Pelodiscus sinensis: one gene and its partners. The protein of the gene in region 1 interacts with the protein of each later gene in a biochemical or structural test. Links are inferred from orthologs where the notes say so. Each region holds a gene or a part of one and is shown in the gene's direction. Other genes may lie near its edges.

Evidence for each region.
Region 2: the proteins of GTF2B (region 1) and NR2F1 form a complex in vitro, tested with the Homo sapiens proteins (2 studies listed by BioGRID and IntAct). The link is inferred for Pelodiscus sinensis from reciprocal best matches to the Homo sapiens genes GTF2B and NR2F1.
Region 3: the proteins of GTF2B (region 1) and GTF2F2 form a complex in vitro, tested with the Homo sapiens proteins (2 studies listed by BioGRID and IntAct). The link is inferred for Pelodiscus sinensis from reciprocal best matches to the Homo sapiens genes GTF2B and GTF2F2.

The regions. Positions count from the first base shown.
Region 1 is NC_134719.1:32,367,437-32,375,343, reverse strand, and holds the start of GTF2B (transcription initiation factor IIB), read left to right. Parts: upstream 1-4,891; 5' UTR 4,892-5,012; coding exon 5,013-5,029; intron 5,030-7,846; coding exon 7,847-7,907. UniProt on the Homo sapiens protein: General transcription factor that plays a role in transcription initiation by RNA polymerase II (Pol II). Involved in the pre-initiation complex (PIC) formation and Pol II recruitment at promoter DNA.
Region 2 is NC_134716.1:72,718,796-72,725,994, reverse strand, and holds the start of NR2F1 (COUP transcription factor 1), read left to right. Parts: upstream 1-4,186; 5' UTR 4,187-5,025; coding exon 5,026-5,470; intron 5,471-5,656; exon of another isoform or gene 5,657-5,906; intron 5,907-6,278; exon of another isoform or gene 6,279-7,069; coding exon of another isoform or gene 7,070-7,082; intron 7,083-7,150; exon of another isoform or gene 7,151-7,199. UniProt on the Homo sapiens protein: Coup (chicken ovalbumin upstream promoter) transcription factor binds to the ovalbumin promoter and, in conjunction with another protein (S300-II) stimulates initiation of transcription. Binds to both direct repeats and palindromes of the 5'-AGGTCA-3' motif.
Region 3 is NC_134711.1:286,841,249-286,848,527, forward strand, and holds the start of GTF2F2 (general transcription factor IIF subunit 2), read left to right. Parts: upstream 1-4,266; 5' UTR 4,267-4,488; coding exon 4,489-4,554; intron 4,555-7,279. UniProt on the Homo sapiens protein: TFIIF is a general transcription initiation factor that binds to RNA polymerase II and helps to recruit it to the initiation complex in collaboration with TFIIB.

The DNA.
Region 1 (7,907 bases):
CAACAATCGATTAGATTTCTTTCAGAGGTCAACAAGCATGTGCAGAAGGAAGATCCACTGGATATAGTGAACTTAGATTTTCAGAAAACTTTTGGAAAGGTCCTCTCACCAAAGGCTCTCAAGCAAAGAAAGCTGCTCTGGGTTAAGATGGAAGGCCCTCTCATGGATTGGTAACTGGTTAAAAGACAGGAAACAAAGGGGAGGAGTTAATGGTCAGTTTTCAGAATGGAGAGGTATATAATGGTGTCCCTCAGGGTCCTGTACTGGGACTAGTCCTATTTAACATCTTCATAAATAACATAGTGGCAAAATTTTCAGATGGTACAAGTCCATGATAGTTAAGTCCAAAGCAGACTGTGAAGAATTACAAAGGGATCTCACAAAACTGTGTGAGTGAGCAACAAAATGGCAGATGAAAGTCAATGTTGATAAATGCAAAGTAATGCACATTTGAAAATATAATCTCAACTATACATACAAAATGATGGGGTCTAAATTAGCTCTTTCTACTCAAGAAAGAAATCTTGGAGTCATCATGGCTAGTTCTCTGAAACATCCACTTAATGTGCAGCAGCAATCAAAAAAGTAAACAGAATTATTAAGAAAGCTATAGATAATAAGATGGAAAATATATTTCCTCCTATATAAATCCAGGGTACACCCACATCTTGAATACTGCATGCAGGTGTGGCCATCCCATCTCAAAGGTATATCGTAAGTGGAAAAGATTCAGAAAAAGCAACAAAAATTATTAGGGTCTAGAATGCCTGCCATACAAGGAGAGATTAATAAGGCTGGGACTTTTGAGTTTGGAAAAGAGACATTAAAGGGAGAATATGATAGAGATCTATATAATCATGATCGATGTGGGGAAAGTAAATAAGGAAGTATTATTTGCACCTCATTACACAGGAACTAGGGGTTAAACAAATGAATTTAATAGGCAAAGATTTTAAAACAAACAGTGTTTTTTTTAACTCAACACACAGTCACTCTGTCAAACTCTTTGCAAAGGATGTTGTAAAGGCCAAGACTATAACAAAGTTTGAAAAACAACTAGATGGAGTATGCCCATCAATGGCTATTAGCTAGGATGGGCAAGGATGGTGTCCCTGACCTATTTTCCAGAAGCTGTAGATAGGCAATGGGGTGGATCACCTGATGATTCCTGTTGTTTTCATTCCCTGTGGGGCATGTGGCAATGGCCACTGTCCAAAAACAGGATACTGGACTTGATGGACCATTGGTTTGAATGTGTATAGCCAATCTTATGTTTGTATTGATCCTTCATATTTTGAAGCTCTCTGCCCCCAGTAGAGGGGCCAGTGATGTACCTTCACTTAATCAACTACAGTGCAATCTATTAATATAACACAATGTAGTTCAGGGTTGATGTGCATTACCTGAGTTTCTCTCAACTCAAAGCTTGGGCTAATTATAGTCTTTGGAAGGCAATGTCAGGAAGAAAAAAATCAAAGCACATCCATCTGATTAAAGCTTGTCAGAAACCCACAATACTTTTACCCAAGCTTACTATTTTATTAGATTTCAAGCACATACAGATATGCAAAAGGCATAGAGCATCCCTAATTATTAGTTACCCATAGTCTGCAGGGGTGTTGTGCAGTCAATGCACACTGTGTAAGTGGCCAGCTATATGTCTGTGGCTGGGGATTCCAATAGATGTTCAGGTCAAATCCAAATTCCTCAGACTTATCTACCATTTTTATGTTAGTAACTGCTACAATTACATCAGTGTGTCAATCAACAAAAAACCATTAAGCAAGCAATTTTAAGCCATTGGTCCCACAGCTGTATTTCTACACAATTTCAAGGTATAGCTAGACAACGTTTTTTTTAAAGGCGGAGACTTCAGATTTTTCAAGAGAGCTTAATAAGAAAGGATCATGCTTATTTCTCAAGGTCACCTTCTCTCTTTTGCCCACCCCAATCTATTTAGTTATGTGAAGGCTGCTACAAAGGCCTTCCAGCTCCTGTTTGTCAATAAGCATAATAATATTCCAGTACTGGCAGCAGTCAAGGCAGTTTGCTGGGCTGTCAAAATCTTCCCTCATAATATGCACCAGGTGGTAGATGCTTGACCGGTGGGAGCCAGTTTGCAGGTTGTTCTCAACCCTTATCTACCGTAACTGAACCTTTGTTTGTTAGGGTGATAAAAATATGCACGTAAAGAAAACTTTGTCGTGGCTTTAGTCAACCGACCAGTGTTGGTGTTTTATACTAGGTCTCAGATCTCTGCATTATCTTGTATGCTGCACTCTACTGGCAACTTCCAGGCATATATCAGGAGCAGCAGCAATGTCTGTGAGGATTGATGCGGGTAGGCTTATGGCAGTGGTCTCCAACCTTTTTACACCCAAGATCACTTTTTAAATGACAGAACAAGCCAAGAACTACTGCCCCGCCCCTTCCTTGAAGCCTCGCCCTCTCTGTTCTCCTCCTCTCCGTCACTTGCTATCCTCAACCCTTATACTGCTGCTTTTTTCCCCCAATTTTTCTGTAGAAAGAGGTTTTTCCAACATTTGGCCTGTCTAGTCTGGACCAAATGTCAGAAAACCCCCTTCTTTTGGAAGCCCCCTTATTGCTCATGGAAAGTGGAATATAGGGGTGACCGAAAGATCATGTTTGCTCTTCCACTAAAAGAAGCAGAAGAACAAATGCATCCCTGGATGCAGAAGTGTTTTTCTGGGATATCTCCGGAATCCTGAAAAACTCCCGCAGTCTAGCTGTAACCTTGCTTGGTTGAGACAGGATGTATACGCTCTGGGGTGGGAATGAGGGATTTGGGTGTGGGAAGGGGTGAGAGGTGCAAGCTCTGGGAGGAAATTTATATGTAGGAGAAGGTAGATAAGGGGATGCTGGCTCAGGGAGGGGGTGCCAGGCCGGGCAGTGTTGGGGTCAGATGTAGGGTTAGGGTACTAAGCAAGCCACAGACTTCTGGATGTAAGGGTTCAGGAATTTGGGTTGGGGTATGTGAGGGGCTCAGGGCAGGGGGTTCCAGTGTATGATAGGCTCATATGTAGGGTCTGGGGGAAAGGGGAGTGCTGGAGTGTTATGATGCTGTGGCCAGATGGGGGCTTGGCCCCAATTTGGGGTTTGTTGGCCAGGCTTCATTTTTAAATAAAATACTATGTCAAACAAAAAGTTTCTGCATTGTCTTTATTTCTGAGAAGGGCAGGGAACCTGTTTTGAGTCAGGGGTCACTGACCCAAGAAAAGTCAGTTGGGGCCACACAAGTGAGATGCAACCCCCCCCCCCCTCCAAGCTTCATTAATGTGGCCCCAACTGTGTTGGTAGGAACAGGGGACATAGTACTGGGGAAGGATGCTAGTGCTTTGGCAGGGGACAAGGTGCCAGTGGGAACAGAGTTCTGTGGCTGGGGGCAGGGGAAAGGGAACAGGGTGCTGGGAGGGCAGAAGACAGGGTTCTGCAGCAGGGGACAGAGAGCCAGTGGGAACAGGTTTCTGCAGCTGGGGAAACCCTGCGCACGCCTGCTCCAGGACCGAAACCCTGCATGCACCTGCCCCAGGGCCGAAACACCTCCCCCCCCCAGACCAGGGAAACCCTGTGCGCACTTGCCCCAGGGCAGACTCACCCCTCCTGCGCTGGTGCAGGGAAGTCGTGGTGCTCCTCTTCCAGGGCCAACCCAACCCCCTCCCGCAGCGCGCCTGGCAGAGCAGCCAGCGTGTTTCCGGAACCCCCGGAAGTGGCGCAAAGCTGCAGGACTTCCGTCCACCCGTGGGAAGCTGGCACTACCTCCATTTTTGCAGGAGGTAGGTAGTGGGGCTTCTCGGGGGTGGGAGGAAAATGGGGGGAGGGCCCGGACACCTCACAATCAACTGGTTGAGGCCTCACGATTGATCTGTTGGTGACCATGGGCTTACAGCATCCTGCAATATAGCAGCAGATGGCATTGAGTACAAGGGTTAGCTTCCTTTGTGTGAGAAGATTGTGCCCAGGATACTGCAAAGGTCTATTCAAGGGAAAAGTAGCAAGAGGGCCAGTGCCAGAGGTGTCAAGTGATATGGACCCACGCTGAGTGGGCACCAGGAACATTCCTGGCTTGGGAGCTCTGCTGCAGCAGTTTGGGGCTGGGTCTTCCCCCCCAACCTCACCTGTACAATTTAAAATGGCCTGGAGGCCTTGTCTGCCACCCCCGGCAGCACCGCAGGGCTAGAACAGCTTCCTACCGCTTGCCTAGCGGCGGACACATCCCAGTGGTCTTTGCATGGCAACCCTAGCCTCAATGCCCCTATGCCCATTGGGAGCTGTGGGGCAGAGCCTGAGAGCAGAGGCATGTGAGATACCTTGTCACACCCTCTCCCAGGAGCCATGCCAGAGGGGCGTATCCCAGTAAGTGCTGCATTCCCACCTCAACCTGCCACCTAGAGCCTGCACCCCCGCCTCCTCCCCTGCATTGCCCCTCCTGCCCCAAACTCCCCCCCAGAGCCTGTATTATTCCTCCCCTCCTCCTGCACCTCCGCCCCAGCCCAGAGCCTGCACCCACAGTCCCTCCCAGAGCCCAGCCCAGAGCCTCCTGCCCCGCCCAGAGCCGTAGGCAGGTGGGGGAGGGGCCGGGCCCTGTTCTGGGCGCCGCCCACAATTCTACAGGCTGTGGCCGCTGGTCACCGGGGCTACAACGCTGAGCACGAGCCCCCACTGGGCAGGGTCCCCGCGGGGCAGCGGCGCGCCCTGGGAATGGAAAAGGAACCTGGCCCAGACTCCAGAGGCCGGGCACAGAGCCGCTGTAACGCCCCGCCCGCCGGCGCGCAGCTCCCCACGCTGCTGTTGCCGTCTCCCGGCACTTACGTTAAGGCAGCTGAACGCGAACCCTTCTGGTTTGTCCCTTTGCGCAGCCTGTAGCGACCGCCTGGCAGAGCCCCGCCTTCCGTGTCGGAGGAGATATAAGGGGGTAGGCTGCGTGCGCCTGACCCAGACCTGGACGGAGACAGGGACGAGGAAGGAAGGAAGGAAGGAAGGAAGGAACGAACATGGCGTCTACCAGCCGGTGAGGGGAGCGGGCGGCCTAGGGCCCCTGGGGGTCTCTGGCCGGGATTCCGGGCTGTCGGCCGGGGCGAGAAAATGGCCGCGTCGCTCCGCAGATTCAGCTCCCGGGTCAGCAACGCTGAACCCCCCCCCTCCCCCCCAGCTGCTATTTCGGGTCCTGGTTCCTGCCTGTCAGTCCCGATCCCTCCCCCCCCCCCCGGACCCTTCGCTCTCCCCGGGCCCTTTCTCCGCTCCCGGGGGGGGGGGCTTTGATCTCCTCGCTGTGGCGCCCCTCTCCGCTCCCAAGGGCTCCGTAGCCGGGTTCTCCGTGTGCGGCCCCTTCCCTCCGCCGCCGCCTCCTGCTTGAAGCAGCGACGAGCGTTTGTGCGCCAGGCCCAGGTTCCGGCCCGTGGTCATCGGGGCGCCGGGCTCCGCCTGAGCTTCCGTTTCCGAGGGTTTTGTGACCCGGCCTCGGAGCTCACAAGTGACGGGGTGGCCGGTGGGCTGCTGCGAATAGCCTGCAAAGGTTGGCCTAGGAAGTCGGAGATGTCTAGGGCGGTGATGGTTACCCCTACAGCCCTCACCTCCCGCCTGCACCTGGCCAGTGAATCCTGTACGCCAGGCAGGAGGGCCAAAGCCCGAGTCCTACGTTCGGGGGAGGGGAGGGCATGGGGAACTGAAACCCAGAGACTTCGGGAGACCTGTAATCTGATGCCTTAGTCGGTTGGCCTCAAGCTTTGGTCTCAAAGCCCAGTAGGTCTAACACTGTTAAAAAGGGGTTGTGATCCACTTTGGGGTCCTGACCTAAGGTGGGAGAACTGCTGCTGTAGGTAGATGGGAGACTTTAAAGCAGTGGCTTTCAAACTCTTTTAACTTGAGTACTCTTCCCCCCCCCCCCTTGAGTTACAATTTTTGGCTGTGTGCCCCACTCCCATACCTATTCCTCCATGCTCAGGTTTTCAGAAGGGGATGGCATATGTATGTGAGCATTGCAGGGGGCCTGAGTCAACAGTGGGCACAGAGATGTTGATATAGACTTGCATGCTGAATGACATTCAGAGTTGAGGTGGGGTGCAAGTGGTGCTCCCTCCTGGAGCCCTTCTGCTCTACCACCTGCACCTGTGTGCACACCCCACTCCCATTTTGCAAATCTCTGCTTCCTAGCACTTTAAATGTTAATTTACATAATTGATCTTTTAAATAAATATGCATTCTGGTCTAAAACCAATGTCTCCTAGAAAATGGATAGTTTGTTCTTACTGTGTTGCTGTGTAAAACTATCGTTAAGGTTAAATCGGGCCTTTCCACAAATTTCATATTTTAATGTGGATGGAAGAATTGCCATGTCTGGTTGCACATCCTGATTCTTCTAAATGTTTCCTAGTAAAAAAGAGTATTTCTTCACACAATGCTTAATGTAACTCATTGCCAACAGATGATGTGAAGGCCAAAAGTATAACTGTTAAAAAAATAGATAATGGAGGCTAGATCCATCAATGGCTATTAACCAAAAAGTCAGGAATATAACCCTATGCTCTGGCTGTCCAGAAGCTAGGCCTGAGTAACTGGATGGAACACTTGCTAATGGCCCTTTCTGTTCATTCTCTCTGAAGCACCTTGCACTGGCCACTGTTTTGAAGACCGGTTACTGGGCTAGATGGACCAGTAGTCTGACCCTGAATGACTGTTCTTATGTTAAAAACTCTTTCATTTCACACCCATTACATTCATTGTTAGGCAATATTCCATTATTCCCAATTTTCCTTCTTGTCATGATCATGTGGAACAGGGTGTCCTCGCTATATGTCCAAGATACCTTTAAACATCATGGGTGTATAGTAAAAGGGTGTAAAGCAGGGAAGTGTATGTGTGTCTGTCAGTCAGTCAGTAAAAAAAAAAAAGCTAGTATGGAACCAATGTATACCGGGGCAATTTATAGCAGGAATGCCCTGTATCAGTAGGCTCCTGATTTGGCCAGATTAGCAGTACTGACAACTACATCTGATTAGTCTTTGGGTTCTTGCCACAATTTTCCCTTTTAGACATTTATCAGCAGAGGTTAGTGATTGATTGGTCTCTATGCCTGAACTATCTTCTTTCTTCATTATGGGTGGAGAGAGTGCTTTCAAACCAGGACTAAAGGTACTGTGATGGGTCAAACTATTTCCTCTGCTGTATCTGCTCTAGAGTTAGTAAACATTTTCCAGTGTTATCACAACTTGTAGCAGGAGTAAAGTAAATGCCAAGCTTTGAGTAAACATCATGGCCATTAATTTTATTGAAGCATTTCCCTGTACATCATGCTGCTGATAAAGGATAGTCAGACCTCAGATCTGCTTTGTGCATCTACATTCAGTTCACTTTTTTTAAATACGCAGTCAGCTTTGTGAACATGGGATGCTAGAAGATAGTTGTTTTCTAAAACAGTCAAGAATGCACTGCTTACCGAAGAAATATTTTAATTGGATTTTAAAAAATGGCTAGCCAAATGCAGGAGTGACTATTTAGAAAGACATGGTTATCACTGATTTCTGGTAGGCATTTATTTAGTAAGAATGGATTTTCAGGTATAATTTACTATATATATATAAGTGTGTGTGTGTGTGTGTGTTATGTTTGGAGCACTTTACTAAATAAAGTAATCCTTGTGGATTTTATGAGGCAAGTTATTTAAGAATTTTAAACTGGATTTAAGAAATCCTATCTTATTGAATTATGTGTGGAAATCCTACGTAGTGCTCCTAATGTACTACTCCACCCAAACAGTTTGCATATTGTTTGTAAATTACTCAGTTGATTTGTGGTGCACGTTAAACATAAAAGTCTTTTTCTTTCTTAGTTTGGATGTGCTTCCCAGAGTGACATGTCCAAATCATCCAGATTCCATTTTAGTGGAGGAT
Region 2 (7,199 bases), on another chromosome or scaffold:
TGCCCCATGCTCTTATAATGAAAGATCACTTCTATTGTGTCCTATACTCCCCCCACTCACACCCCTCAAAAACCCACTTTTATAATTTGTTACAGATTCTCAACCTAGCTAGATAATAAACTTCTGTTTCCGGAAGGTACAAGAGTGTAGACAGAAGCAAAAGAAGAAAGTAAAACCCAGTTCACTTTTGCGTTTCACCAGAATAACACACAACAACAAACTGAAACATATCATACTGTGTTCTCATCTTATGAACGTAAATTCTAATATGCCAAAAGAAGGTTAAGTCTGAGAAAGTCCTAGCTTAGCACGGTTGTTATCGTGGTCTGTTCTGGCCAGTTGGTAGGTCCCAGAGGTCAAATTAAGAAATAGTAAAAGTTCATCTCCAAATTACATTTACGTTGTCACCCTTTTTAAGTCTTATTGTAATTTGTCGGGGGTGGAAATGCATCTTGTCAAGGGACTCTTGTTTTTACCTAGGCATCAGATAGGCATTGGGCTGCTTCCCCAGTTCAGCTGCTCAGTCTACTTCCCAGCACTCACACAACGGTTCAGAGGAACTGGGACTTTCGTCGGGAATCAAAACCGCATTCACGTAGGTTACCCAGTTCCTGATACTATCTGCTTTTAGAACATACAGGTAACTGATTCTTTCTAAGAAAATGATCATCACCGTCCGCGCAACTACAGTGGAGTGCAAATACACCTCTGGATCAGAGCAATTTGAATTGCTTTTTGCTTTCTTCGTATTGTAGTCTGTTCCCCAGGTCAGTGGGAGCTGATTGCTGCTGCCCCTTTAATATGTTGACATTATCTCCCAGATAAACAAGTTGCCATCGATCTTTTCATTAGGTGATCAAATAACAAACAGAGCAGGTGAAAAACAGGAGCATTAGTATGCTTGCATTTCTGTAGCAGGGATCCTAGCAACATTATTGGAAGTAAAAGTTCTATTCAATAATTATGTGGAAGGGGTGTTTATGCGTCAGTTGGGTCTATAATATTTCCGTAGATACACAAAGGTAAACGTAAGCGCGTTACCTTACTAAGGAAAGTGTATATAGATACAAGCACATATCTCTGTATCTGTGTGTTGAATGGAGAAACTGGGCTCATAAGAAAAAGCTAAAAACTGAAGGCTCTGCATACCTCCCATCTATAATTCCTATAATCAGATTCAATATGTGTGAAATGCCGAAATAACGGGCCATGTTCTCAAGTTGGGCTGTTTGACGAGTCTCGGAAAGCAGCCTGAATGCTAGAAGCAAAAGTTATCCTTGCAAAGTACTCCTTTACTATAACTCCATCACAGTGGGTTTCCAATGAAATGTAGACAGACGCTGCTTCCCATGTTAACCCCACTAGAAACACAGAATAGAAAAAAAGCAGTACTTGCCTGGTGAAGCCTGCTTTGACCGCGGTTCTGGGTGCCAGCTGAAGCGATCCAGGCTCCGAGGAAATCTTTTCAAGAAGGAGCAAGCACAAACTGCTCGGTCCGTCCACCTTCTCTCTGGCTCTCTCTCTCCCTCTCTCTCTCTCTCTCTGTCTCTCTCCCTCTCTGTGCCTTGCTCTGCCTCTTTTACTCCTTGTCTCTTCACAGTCTGGGGAGTAAAATCTAGATGATATACATACAGAGCCTGCTTTTTTTGTCTGATTTAATCTTATTCGTTTCACCTTTTCACTGACCAGGAGCAAGGAGCGAGAGTTTATTTGGAAAGAGGGAGAGAGAGGAAAGGAGTCCACTGTTGCATAGTCAATAACATCCTTTTTATCAATGCAATATACAATAGGGGCGGCTTGGCCAGGGGACTCATTGAAAATCTCTTCATTATTTCAGGACAAAACAACCCGTTTATTCTGATTTTAGAAATCATCCGCTCAAACTTGTTCAAAATCTTACATCTGTGGGCTTGACAGGAAAATAAACCCATTATCGAAGCACATCTAAGGTGCTTGTTTTGTTAATGAATAGAAAATCGTATTAAAAAGCTTCCTAATATTTCGCATTCCCTTTTCTTGCAGGTTTTGCTTGGTTTCCAAACTGATTTAAAACTTTGATGTGAGCTAAGGGGAGCCCAGGAAGGTGGGGGGGGGGGGGTTGTTGTTGTTGTTTTCTTTTTTGCCACAGACAGACATTCGACCCAAAGTGCATTTAAAAGAGGGCACTTAAGGGGACGTTGCAGAGAAGAAGGGATGGGAGACAGGAGGCTAGAAGAGGTGTGCCGTTGAAAAGAGAAGAAGGTTCCTTGCTTTCCAAAGCAGCTTCTTTAAAAAGAAAATAAAAGTCATGAGAACATTTTGTGGCTTCCTGCTGCTTTAGAAAAGGCACGGGCTTTGTGCACTGAGGAGGAAGGGGGGAACTGAGGACTTTGCTGGCTGCAGCTACTAAGCTCGGTTCCTGACCGCTAGATGGCAGCCGGATCCAGCGATTCCTCTACTAGACATTTGGAAGAGAGAGAGAGAGCAAACCCCTCCTCCTCCCCATGCACATACTCCAACCTTCTCTCTCTCTCTCTCTCTCTCTCTCTCTCTCTCTCCCTCTTCCTGGGACTTTCGTTTACAAGCATTGATCTTCCCAGACAACAAAACGAGAACTTACTTGTGTTTTATTAATAATTATTGAAGCATTGCTGGCTGTTTAAACAGCCTTGGAAAGGAGCACTGCTGGAAAGTGTAATCATCATCATAATTAATAATAACCCGTCCAGGGGAAAGTGTTGGTTTCTGATCTCATTTTACGACACCGAGAATTCCACCAGTGTCACTGAGCGTAATTAAAAATATCAAAAGAGGAAGAATATTTTAGGTAATAAATGGGAGGAAAAAAGCAAAATTGAACATATACATATATAAATATATATTTGCGTTTTCCAATATGTATTATATCGCTTATTATACAAAGCATATTTACTTTCAGCAATTAAAATACTTAATAGAGGGGGGTTTCAATTGGAAACATACAGCAATCTAAATACAGCAATCTAAATAATAACCCCCCCAAAAAAACTTACTTTTCTGCGTGAGCCAAAATAATTTTCTTTTAATTCCTCTTTCCCCCTATCGCAATGCATCTCCCCTCCCCTCCCCCTTTCCCCGTCCTTTTGATGTGTGTGCGTGTGTGAGTGTGTATGACCATAGACGACCCATACTAATCAGGTCTCAAAGTAAATAGCAGCGCAGGGCGATCTCAATGTAAATTGTGCTTGTCAGAAGATTCCCCTTCTCTCCCCCCTCCCTCATTCCCCAACCCAGTCAGTAGGTAGCAGAGAATTAAAAAAAAAAGAGGGGGGCCTCTTAACCAATGGCGTGAAGGAGGCTTGGCTAACCTTAGCCTCCCATTTTCTCTCCCCCCAATTCAGGGCTCTGACCAGTCAGTCGCCTTTGATTATCAGTTGCCAGCAGCCCCTCTCTTGGCTCCTTGACATGAGCTCCATATAAGGCAGCGATCTCCATAGAAACGTGTCAGTTTCAATAGTAGTGTCAAAGTTCACTATATACAGACATTCGCGCAGATCCCCCTTTCGGAAACATTGCTCTGCTAGTCTTCCCGTTTAAACGCATTCATTTTTTGGGTCTCTCTCTCTCTCCCTCTCTCTCTCTCTCTCTCTCTTTCTTTCTCTCTCTCTCCCCCCTTTCTTGCATATTCTATTAGTTTTTTTCTTCAGCTCCCTCTTCTTCCTTTTCTTCTTTTTTTTTCACCCTTCCTCTTAGTGTCTTTCGCTTCATTCCTGCAGGAGAAGAGAGAGGTGAAACTAAAAAAAAATTAAAAAGGAGAAAAAGGAAAAAGAAGAAACCCAGAGAGAGAGAGAGAGAGAGAGAGAGAGGACGCTTTCATATCTTAATACATCATCGTTATTTTTTTTTTTTTACTATTATTGTCTTTTTTTTATTTTGGGGGAGGTTTTGGTCCTGGCTGATGAGTTTTTATCTGAAATACTTTTTTAACCAAAAACAGAGAACATTTTTCGGCGATCTCCAGTGATTTTTGTAACTAGCCCCGTGTGTTATCACCGAAGAAGACGGAAGGGGCAAGAAAGAGGGAAAGAAGAGGATTTATTTATTCGACCTACTTTGGATCTCTCGTTTTCTGCCTGTGCCATTATTATTCATCCTCTATTTATTTTTTTACTCTTCGTCGTGAATTCGTCTCCGCTGCGAATTAGTCACATCCAATTGCTTTTGTATTTCTTTGAGAAAGAGAGAGAGAGAGAGAGAAACAACCACCAACAGCAACAACAACATCAAACTGTCTAATCTTCCATCCCTCCTCGAGCGCGTTTCCCAAGACTGGTTTCCTGAATGGCTGACTGCGTTTTGCCCTGGACCTGGCCCCCGGACACTTTTATCCCCTGATCTTCGGGAGCCTTTTTCTCTCGCTTTCCACCATCCGCGCCCAGCCCTGCGCCCCCCAAAGAGCCCAGAGCGCCGGCGGCGGCAGCGGGGGACAACCACGGCACCAGCACCGGCCTGGCCCCGGCAGCGAGCAGCAGCGGCGGCGGCGGCGGCGGCGGCGGCACCGACCTCCTGCTCCTCCTTCTCCTCCAGCTTCCTCTATGTCTGCACATCCTTTGCACTCCTAGCGCTCGGACTGTGTGGCGGGCGCGCGCTGTGTGTGTGTGTGTGTCGGCCGATCGCCTCCCCCGTGCGCCTCTCCTGCATGCCTCTCCCCGCCGCGCCGCCTTGCCGGCCGCTTCGCTTTGGGCAACTTGAGAAAAAAAATATTTAAAAGGGGGGGGCCCCACAAAATCCTTCATCCCTCCCTTCCCCCCAAAGCGGGAGAGACAGAGAGCGAGGGAGAGGGCGAGGAGGGGGTTGCAAAAATAAAGAGAAAGAAAACGGCAGAAACAGCTCCAAGAAGCAGCGGCAGCAGCAGCACAAGGGCAGCGGCAGCAGCGGCGGCAGCCAAGCTTCCTGCTCTCTCCTCTCTCCCCCAAATCCGAGCCACCCACTCCCCCCCGCCCCCCTCCTCTCCCCGGCAGCCCTCCGCGAGAAGCTCCGCTCCCCAGCACTTTGTGGGCCCGAGATATGGCAATGGTAGTTAGCAGCTGGCGAGATCCGCAGGAAGACGTGGCCGGGGGCAACCCGAGCGGCCCCAACCCAGCAGCTCAGCCGGCCCGGGATCCGCAGCAGCAGCAAGCGGCCTCGGCGGCCCCGCACACCCCGCAGACCCCTAGCCAGCCGGGACCCCCTTCGACTCCGGGCACGGCCGGCGACAAGGGCCAGAGCCAGCAGGGCTCGGGCCAGAGCCAGCAGCACATCGAGTGCGTGGTTTGCGGGGACAAGTCGAGCGGCAAACACTACGGCCAATTCACCTGCGAGGGCTGCAAAAGTTTCTTCAAGAGGAGCGTCCGCAGGAACTTAACGTACACATGTCGTGCCAACAGGAACTGTCCCATCGACCAGCACCACCGCAACCAGTGCCAGTACTGCCGCCTCAAGAAGTGCCTCAAAGTGGGCATGAGGCGGGAAGGTGAATATTTCTTCCCTATTCTACTCTCCCTCGCTCTGTAGCTCGGTGTGTGTTTGCAAGCCCTCGCCAGCTTTGCACCCAGGCTTTTGGTTTGCGCTGATGCCCTCCTCTTCCTTTCCTCCCCCCCCCCCCCCCCCCCATCACCGCCACCACCACCGCACTCTTCCCTGCCCTGCTCACTGGGATGGGAATTTATTATGATGATCAGTCACTAAATATTTATTATTTCTCCGGGATCACTCGGATCTCTCTCTGTATGTGGATGTGGTTTTGTCTATTGTTGGCATGAGGCTGGGGGGACATCATTCTTTCCAAGATGGGTTTCCTTCTATTCCCCCTCCCTCCTTCCCTCCTTATGTACAATTTAAAAACCCACAACACTTCGCAGTAGATCCATTTCCACCATCATCTTTCCTGAAAGAAAGATGAAAGACATGTAAGTGGCGGGGGGGGGGGGGAGGAAGGGAGAGAAAGGAAGGGGGAGAAATATGCTACTGTATCTCAGGTTCCTTGTGCTTGCCAGTATGGTAGAGTCTGCTCCTTGCAAGATCTGGCCTTCTTTTCACTCCATGCTCTCAAAGGAAAGTTTCTGACTGAACCTTGTTTTTATAGTTCTGTCATTTTTTTAGCATGCTGTTCATTTTATTTTTCCATCAAACTCTACCCTCTGCTTAAATACTGCATACAAATTACAATTTACAACATATTTACCGGTCCTCCTGATTTTAGCATAATACATAGTCTGTTTCTGGCATGAGCTGTCCCCACCATTTCAAATGCTATTTTTTAGAGTTGTTCTTGATGTTTGCTTGTAATGTGTCTCATTTTTCGCTAGCAAGATTTGCTGCACTGTATTTTCTAAATATATATATATCAATTTACAGTTAAAGTTCATCTTGTGACTATCGTTAAAGATGTCTGATAGGCAAAGAAGCGAAACAATCAATTTTGTGGCGTGGGGATTACTTGCTTCTTTAATTAGTTTTAAAATTATATTTTCTATGCCACAAGAAAAGAAAGTGAGTTCCTTCAGACCTGGGAAGAGCTCGCACGTATGACGACTTCATTTGTAGCTTCAGGGAGCTATTTGTAGGCGTATGGGGAAAAAAGCAAACTTAGAATTGTGCTTTCATTTAATTGAAAAATAACTGCCAAGTTCAAAACTATAATTAGGTGGAGGGGGGAGGGAAGAGTCCAGCCACTTAGATTTCAAGGGCTCAGTTGGAATTTCATCAATACTATTATAAATGATAAAGTTACGGAAATATTGCACGCTCTAAACTGGAAAGATAAATTATATATAGGGGTGTGTTATTAATATGCCACAGTGGTTGTATCTTCTCCTTGAATTACCTTTGTTGACATGGCATGCACTTTGGAACACTGGCGCTGATGAAGTAAAACATACACACACGGAAAAAAAACTTTGGTCAGCTTTAGGAACTCAAAGCATGCTTACGTTTTGTATTGAGATGGTTAATGAATCCAGTGTTTTTGCAGTTGCAAGCTTGTGCATTCACTGTGCAAAGCTGTCCACAGGCTTTTGCAGTGGCAACAGCGCAGCAAAGATATTAATTAAACCATCGCATTTTTTCACTAATGTTTGGCTACTGTAAGTTCAGACCCTTTTCCCCCCCTTTCGAATATTTAATCTTTCTCTTCCTTCTATCAGCGAGAACTTTGCTGGGCACGTATCGGATGCTTGCTCCGTGTAATAAAAAGTTAGAAG
Region 3 (7,279 bases), on another chromosome or scaffold:
GCAAACTTTACTCTATGTAAAACTTTTATGCAGAGTAAGATGGATTTATTTGGGTTTTGCTTCTCTTTGGGGCTATGTTCCTGAATTCTGTCAATAGTCTTATAGCTGACTCCTCCCAGAGCTGAGCTGGTTCAACATCTATGTTGTTCTGCTGAAGGGCCATTACCGTAACACTGTGACTTGTTTGGGGAAGATCAGAGCTTCTGGAACAGCAGGATAGGGTGATGGGGCACTCCAAAGGGCAAGTCGGCAGGCTCAGTGGCATGACCAGCACACCAGGTGACAGCCCAAAGGGAACCTGTCACACACTATTCTCAGAAGGTGTGGAAGTATTGGGGAAGTTTATAGGGCAGGGCTTAAACTGGTGCAAATGATTATAAATTGTCAATGGATTTCAATGGAATGAGGACAATTATACCTAAAAGCCTGCCCCAGTGTCAGCGAAGCCAATATGGAAAGGAGGAAAAACCTGGCCTATTTGATTAAGGAGGATATGAATCTCTTTGGCAGTGTAACTCTTATTAGGTTTTTTCTCTGAAACTGTTCAGCACCTTTTTCACTTTGTTACTGAGTCATTTGCTGACAAGATCGAAGAAAGAGCAGTCCCTGGATCAGTTTTCTTTCTGATAAAATGTCTGTATCACTCATGGTTTGAATGAAAACTATTATCCATCATCTCTTTTTTGCCTGGAATGGGCTGAGCTATGGAGTTCAGATCCTGATCTAAATCTGAATTTTCCCAGACTCTGGAGTGTTCAAATTCAGTGTCCCTTATAGAGATATGCCTCAGGTATCACAGCATCCAGAACCAGAAGACATTCAGATTCCACAGCAAGAGGTAACGTATAAAAACATAGATCCACAGAATTCATGGAGGGGAGCTGGAGGATACATACAGTGTTCTGGTTTTGGTCCATCTATAGTGCTGGTGAAATTCTTTTAAAGGCCCAGTTAGTAGTAATAATAGCTTACATTTAGCTAGTATCTTTTATTCTGAAGATTCTCAAAGGCCTTTGTGAACTATATTCATACAGCAATCATTACTGATATAGCCTTTGAGATGACAAATAGCTAACAGAAAATGTGCACGTAGTACTCAGAACAGATGAGAGTAGAACTAAAATACTGCCCAATCAGTGAGCAGATACAAAGCCTTGCTCTTATGAAAACTGCCAGGAAATCCTGAATTTCCATGCTGAGTGGATAGGATTTCAGGTTTAAGGTAGGGGTGTGAAAAGAGTTAGAAGCAAGTGAAGAAAACGTACTTGTTGAATGTTTGAATTAAACATATATGGCTATCTTCCAGTAAATGACAAAATATGTTTTCTCTCATTTGGTTTACCTGTACTTGGCACAGGATGCAAAGAAGGAAATAATAAGTGGCTTTTTTGTTGCTGGCCAGAGATGCTTTGGTCCTTAATACAACTCTAAGCAGCTGCAGGGATGTTCTATGTTACCTGTGGTCTCCAAAGAGCTATACTGGCAACCAATGATTAGTGAGCCATAGCAATACATTGGCTATGCCTCTTTTCACTCTGGGAATAACCTTTACACTAATTGTTGGAGGGGAGGGGATAGTATAGAAGTAGTGTAGTGATTCTACAGCACTCTGGAGATTTTCCCTACATGGAAAAACTCCTCAATTGGCCAATTAAGTTGAATTTACAGTCCCTCTGTGTCAGCAAAACTGTACAAATGAGCCAGTGTGGTGATGAATCTGTCCTTCTGTCTCTTAGAGCAAGTTTCTTCTGTTCTATTGTTACACACCCACATTATGGAAATATTTTGTCATTAATATTCAGTGAGCACCATCTACTTTGTGTATAAATCCAAACACAAGTCAAGAGCCATCTGTTTAATATAATTCAGCATTTCAGTTTTGTGTGATTATATCTGATCTGTTTGACCTACCATGTCAGCGCTGTTTGTTAACTGTAATTTTACCTGATGTGGGAAATTCTAGGATGCTTGTGAAAAGAAATGTGTGTGTATGCGCATACGCGCATATATACATTCCATTGTATTGTAAAATAACAATTCATGCATGCTATGTTTTATTCCCTTTCTACATACAACATCTCACTTTCCTGGGGATTTCTCTGAGTAAGGGTAAATACTGAAAAGGTATGTTTCATTAAACATGCTAGGATTTGCAAAACAAATCCTCATTTTTGGGAGGTTGTTTTTTTAGCTTTGGGAGTATAAGAACTATATTTAATCATCCTGAATCTAAAATCTACAGCACTGGCTCAAGGAATCTTGGAAACCTCAGGGTTTATCTTGCAGAATTTCCTCTGTACACTGGCCCCAGGAGCAAGAAGTTTTAGTGACCTGAGGGAGGCAGAAGGCATAGTCTTCATCCCTGTAGATCAGTAGTTCTGGACATTGTGACCAACTGTGTGCTAGATCTTTGTGACAGGTGAAAACTTCTCCCTCTTAAGTATGTTTTCATTGCCTTCTCAGCCTGCATCTATGCCACCCTTACCCCTTTCTAAGAGGGCTGCTGACATAGTGCAGGTTGGACAGTGTTAACTCCTCTGAGTATATTTTCCCCGATATCCTTTTGATTCTGAGGGAAGCATACATAAGTTCACTGTAGTCCACAACAAAACTCCTATTAATTTTAATGATAATGCCGTTTTTTTTGTCCGTCGATTATTTTTATCTTGCAAATCAGTACTGCCAGTCCTAAGACTTCAGGCAGCACTGAAAGAGGCTTGTTACAGTGCAATCTCTTGAGCCCACTTGGTTATATGAAAAATTCAGAAGTAAAGGCTCTGTAATTTAAAACCTAGTAATGTATTTCCCCTGATTTTACATTTATTGTATATAAACAGGAACAGAAATGGAAACACAGAGCTCAAACTCTCAGCTACTGGCTTCCGATTCTTCATCTATGGAACAAAACACTGGAAAGTGAAACATAAGGTTAGGATTTTAAATAAGAAATTAATGAAAATGCTTCTTTATTGCCCCACTTAATGTAGTTTCCATGGAAACAGGACTGGATAGGCTGCCTGTAGCTGGAACGGAAAATTCTGCCTTGTCACTTTCTGCTCTGAGCCACCAGCTGAGCCAATAACACTGCCATATTTTTCCTAGTTTTTAGCACCTTACATGAAAACAATGATTTCTCACAGAGCAACTTAACTGGCCAAATTAGTATTGTTAGCTAAGTTTGTTACTTGGGCATTTAGCCTGTTTACTTATACTACTTAACTAACATAAAAATTTAAAAGGAGGAATGTAATGCATATTCAAATTACTAAATCACAACACCAGATTACTGTCAATGTCACTTGAGTTGAAGAAATTAATTCCATGTCATTTTTAAACAGTGGGCAGGTGCAACCTGAACATATGGTTTGAGCTATTTAGACACAACTCCCACCATTCACTTACTGTTTGGTTTTAACAAATCACATTGGGTCATATTAAAAGATGCTGAACTCTTCCTACTTCATTGTGCTCATCCCTTCACAGGCTCAGTACCTAAGCCTCAATTAACAGCATCTGTGAATCCTGCCTGGGGCAAAACTTCAAGATACTGAACATCCTCCCTACTGTGTTCAAACAAGGGCATCCACACACAACCTTTCCCCAAAGTAAGTGACAGTGGGAATAGAATAATAGTTTACAAATAACTGGTTTTCAGATAGACAAACCCTTCATTTCATTTTTGGGCTTTCGGAGATGCAATGTCTGAGTTTCAAACATGGAAGTGGGTGATTTTTTTGCTTAAATACACCTATTCCCTTAAAGGTTTTTAACTTAATGAAAGCTTGCTTTTAACCTGAGTTTTGGGCTAAATCTGAGTTGACAGCCTGTTTCTCATCTCCTGTCCAGGCTCTGGGGATGCTGCAGAGTGGCTGGCTTTTACAGGAATGATGGTAACCCATTATTGATTCACACATCGGCTTCCCCCCTGCTGCTGGAGTAGCTACCAGGTTGTTTCTATGATAATCAGTAGGTAATTTCCTACCAGCAGGGCACGGCCCCACTCCAGGCCTGGCACCTCTGAGGGGTCACGTCTGTCTCCCCCCACATACAGCTCTGTCCCAGGAAGGAAGCACGGCCAGGAGCCCAGCTTCTCCAGGGCCCTGTCACTCAAGCTACCAGGGGGCGACTCCCCTCTAGGCGCTGACCTGCCAGCTTGGGGGTGTCCCCACCACAGTCAAACCTCCCTGCAGCGCGCCGGGCGGCCCCTAAGCCCCCCAACACCCGGGGCGCCTCCCCCGCCGCCAAGTGCCAGTCGCTGCCCCTCCCCCTCCACGCCTGCCAAAGGAAGCGTGAGGGATCAGGCCTTTTCTCGGGGGGGGGGAAGGGAGGCACTCCCTCCTCGCTCCGCTTTGCCGCGGAAGTTTGGCAGCGCCGGGCCGCCGTAGACGGGGTGAGCTGTTGATTCCTGTCCGGCTGGATGCAACGGCCATTGTGTGCGGGCGCCTCGAGCTCGTTCCGCGTGTCCTCGCGCCCCTCGCCCGGGCCGCCATGAGCGAGAAGGGGGAGCTGGACCTGACCGGGGCCAAGCAGAACACCGGCATGTGGCTGGTGAAGGTGAGAGGCCGCGCGGGTCCCGGGCCCGCTGCTGCTGCCGCCGCCGGGACGGGGCTCGCCTCCAGAACGCAGCGCGGCGGGGAGCGAGGGGCTGGGGAGATCCCCTGGGGAGGGCCCCCGACGGGCCGGTGGCGCTGCAGACGGGGCCTGGCGGCTGAGGCGGTGTCCCCGCCGGTGCGGTGCGGCCTGGCGTGACCGTCCCTGAGCGGCGCCGCTTCCCGCCGGGGCCCGCCCGGCGCGCAGGAGACTCCCCTTGGCCGCCCCCACGGTCTCCGGCGGGTCCCGCGCGCTGCTGCGGCCTCCCTGGAGCTGCGGGGACCCCGCCAAGCGCGAGCCGATGCAGAGTCAGCGGGCAGGTGCCCCGGCCTCTCGCTGCTTTGTCAGGCGCCGTGCCCAGAGCTGCGAGGCGCCAGCCCCTTCAGTGGCCGCGCTTGGGAGCAACCCCCTACCGCTCTGTTTCTGTGAGCACTGGCGAGGGGGACAGGGAACGAGACAGTGTAATTGCCTCTCTATGCCAGTAGCATCATGGAAGCCTTGGCAGAAAGAAGAGAATTAATTTTTCCCTTTTCTGTAGCTGGGGTGTGAACTTTAGGCTAGACTTAAGACACTGTTGGGTGGGGATGGATGAGGCTCCCTAGGCACTGTCCCTGGCTTACACCCTGCTAGGAATCACATCGTACTTTATCTTCTAAGACCCTGGGCTACATCTACACTGGCAGCTTCTTGCGCAAGAGCTGTTTTGCAGAACAGTTCTTGGCAAAAAGTCTTCCACAAGGGAGGCTGTGTCTAGACTGGCAAGCTTTTGCGGAAAAACTTGCGAGCTGTCTACACTGGTCACTTGAATTTCTGCAAGAACACTGACTTCCTACTGTCTGAAATCAGTGCTTCTTGCGGAAATACTATGCTGCTCCCATTCGGGCAAATGTCCCTTTTGCGCAAAAGGGCCAGTGTAGACAGCTCAGATTTGTTTTGCGCAAAAAAGCCCCTATTGCGAAAATGGCGATCGGGGCTTTTTTGCGCAAAAGCGCGTCTAGATTGGCACGGACGCTTTTCCTCAAAAAGTGCTTTGCGGAAAAGTGTGTGCGCCAGTCTAGACACTCTTTTCTGCAAATGCTTTTAACGGAAAACTTTTCTGTTAAAAGCATTTGCGGAAAATCATGCCAGTCTAGAGGTAGCCAGAGTGTCTACACTGGCATGTCCTTTTGCACAAGAGATGTGCTTTTGCGCAATAGCGTCCATGACAGTGTGGACGCTTTCTTGCGCAAGAAAGCTCTGATGGCCATTTTAACCATGGGGCTTCATGCACAAGAAATTCATGTTGCCTTTCTACACTACCCTCTTGTGGAAGAGCTCTTGCGCAAGAGAGCTTATTCCTCATGGGGAGAGAAATAACTCTTCTGGAAGAAGCCCTGTTTTACAACGCTATACTGTAAATTTACTCCCACAAGAATGTGCGTGCAGTGTAGACAGCAGGCAAGTTTTTGCGCAAGAACAATTGTTCTTGCGCAAGAAGCTGCCAGTGTAGACATAGCCCTGGGGTCTTATCTGCATTAAGAATTTTCAGGATGACACAGTAGATGAGCTTCAGGAGATAGCCAAGTTAATCAGTTACAGAAAAAAACAACAAATGGTCTGGTAGCACTTTATAGACTAACAAAACATGTAGAAGGTGGTATGAGCTTTCGTGGGTGCAGCCCACTTCTTCAGATGATCAGAGTTATGAGTAGGGGATATGAAAACTCAAAATAAATAGGAGAGGGAGAAGAAAAAGAAAAAAAGAGCAGCAATAGAAATTTTCAGAAAAATCCTTAATATAGACATAGTCAAGGAGTGGGCTTGTCATTAGGTCTTGGAATTTGCTCTTTCGTGTCAGTTTCTGGATGGATTTTGCCCATGAAAGCTCATGTTACCACCTACATGTTTTGTTAGTCTTTAAGGTTCTACTAGACTATTCATTGTTTAAGTTTTTCTAGTTTCTGCGTAGTAGGTTTTATGAAGCCTTGTTGAAAATGGGTTGATCCTACCTGTGCTAACCAAGGAGTTTTCAAATGAGGAGATGAAGATATAAGGGGGACCCTAGGCTGTGTCTAGACTACACTGCTGTGTCCACAAAGAGATATAGATTAGTCACGCCGAAATTGCTAAATATCCGGCACTCCATTAGCATGGGCTCCCCACCCATGGCCACGGCTTTTTTTTTTTTTTTTTTTTTTTTTTTTTTTTGAAGCGGGGCTTTTTTGGGAGGGGGGAAAAAAAGCAGTCTAGACGGGGATCTGTCGAAAAAGGCTTTATTTTTCAATGGATCCCGTCTAGACTGACTTTTTTTTGAAAAAGCTCCGTTTAGAAAAAAAGCAGCAGCCATGTTTATGCTAAGGAAGCATGGGATATTTAAATACCTGCTTCATTAGCAATTTCGACATGCCTAATCTACATCTTTCTGTCGACAGAGAGGTATAGTCTAGATACAGCCCTAGTGTTCATATTGATTATTAACAGAACTTTCCTATGTATACTCTGTATAGGAGGAGAACTGGAATAGCAAGAACTTTTTATGATTCTTCACAGATAGTTGATGACATGATGACATGACTTAAAAATGACTTCCATGACTGGTATGGACCAAGTCTATGGTCTTTTAACATTTTAATTCCTTTATATAGTAGGGATGTGAAAAGGTTATCTGGTAACTGCTGCAGGCAGGGGGCTGCTTCAGTCTTGCAGGGGG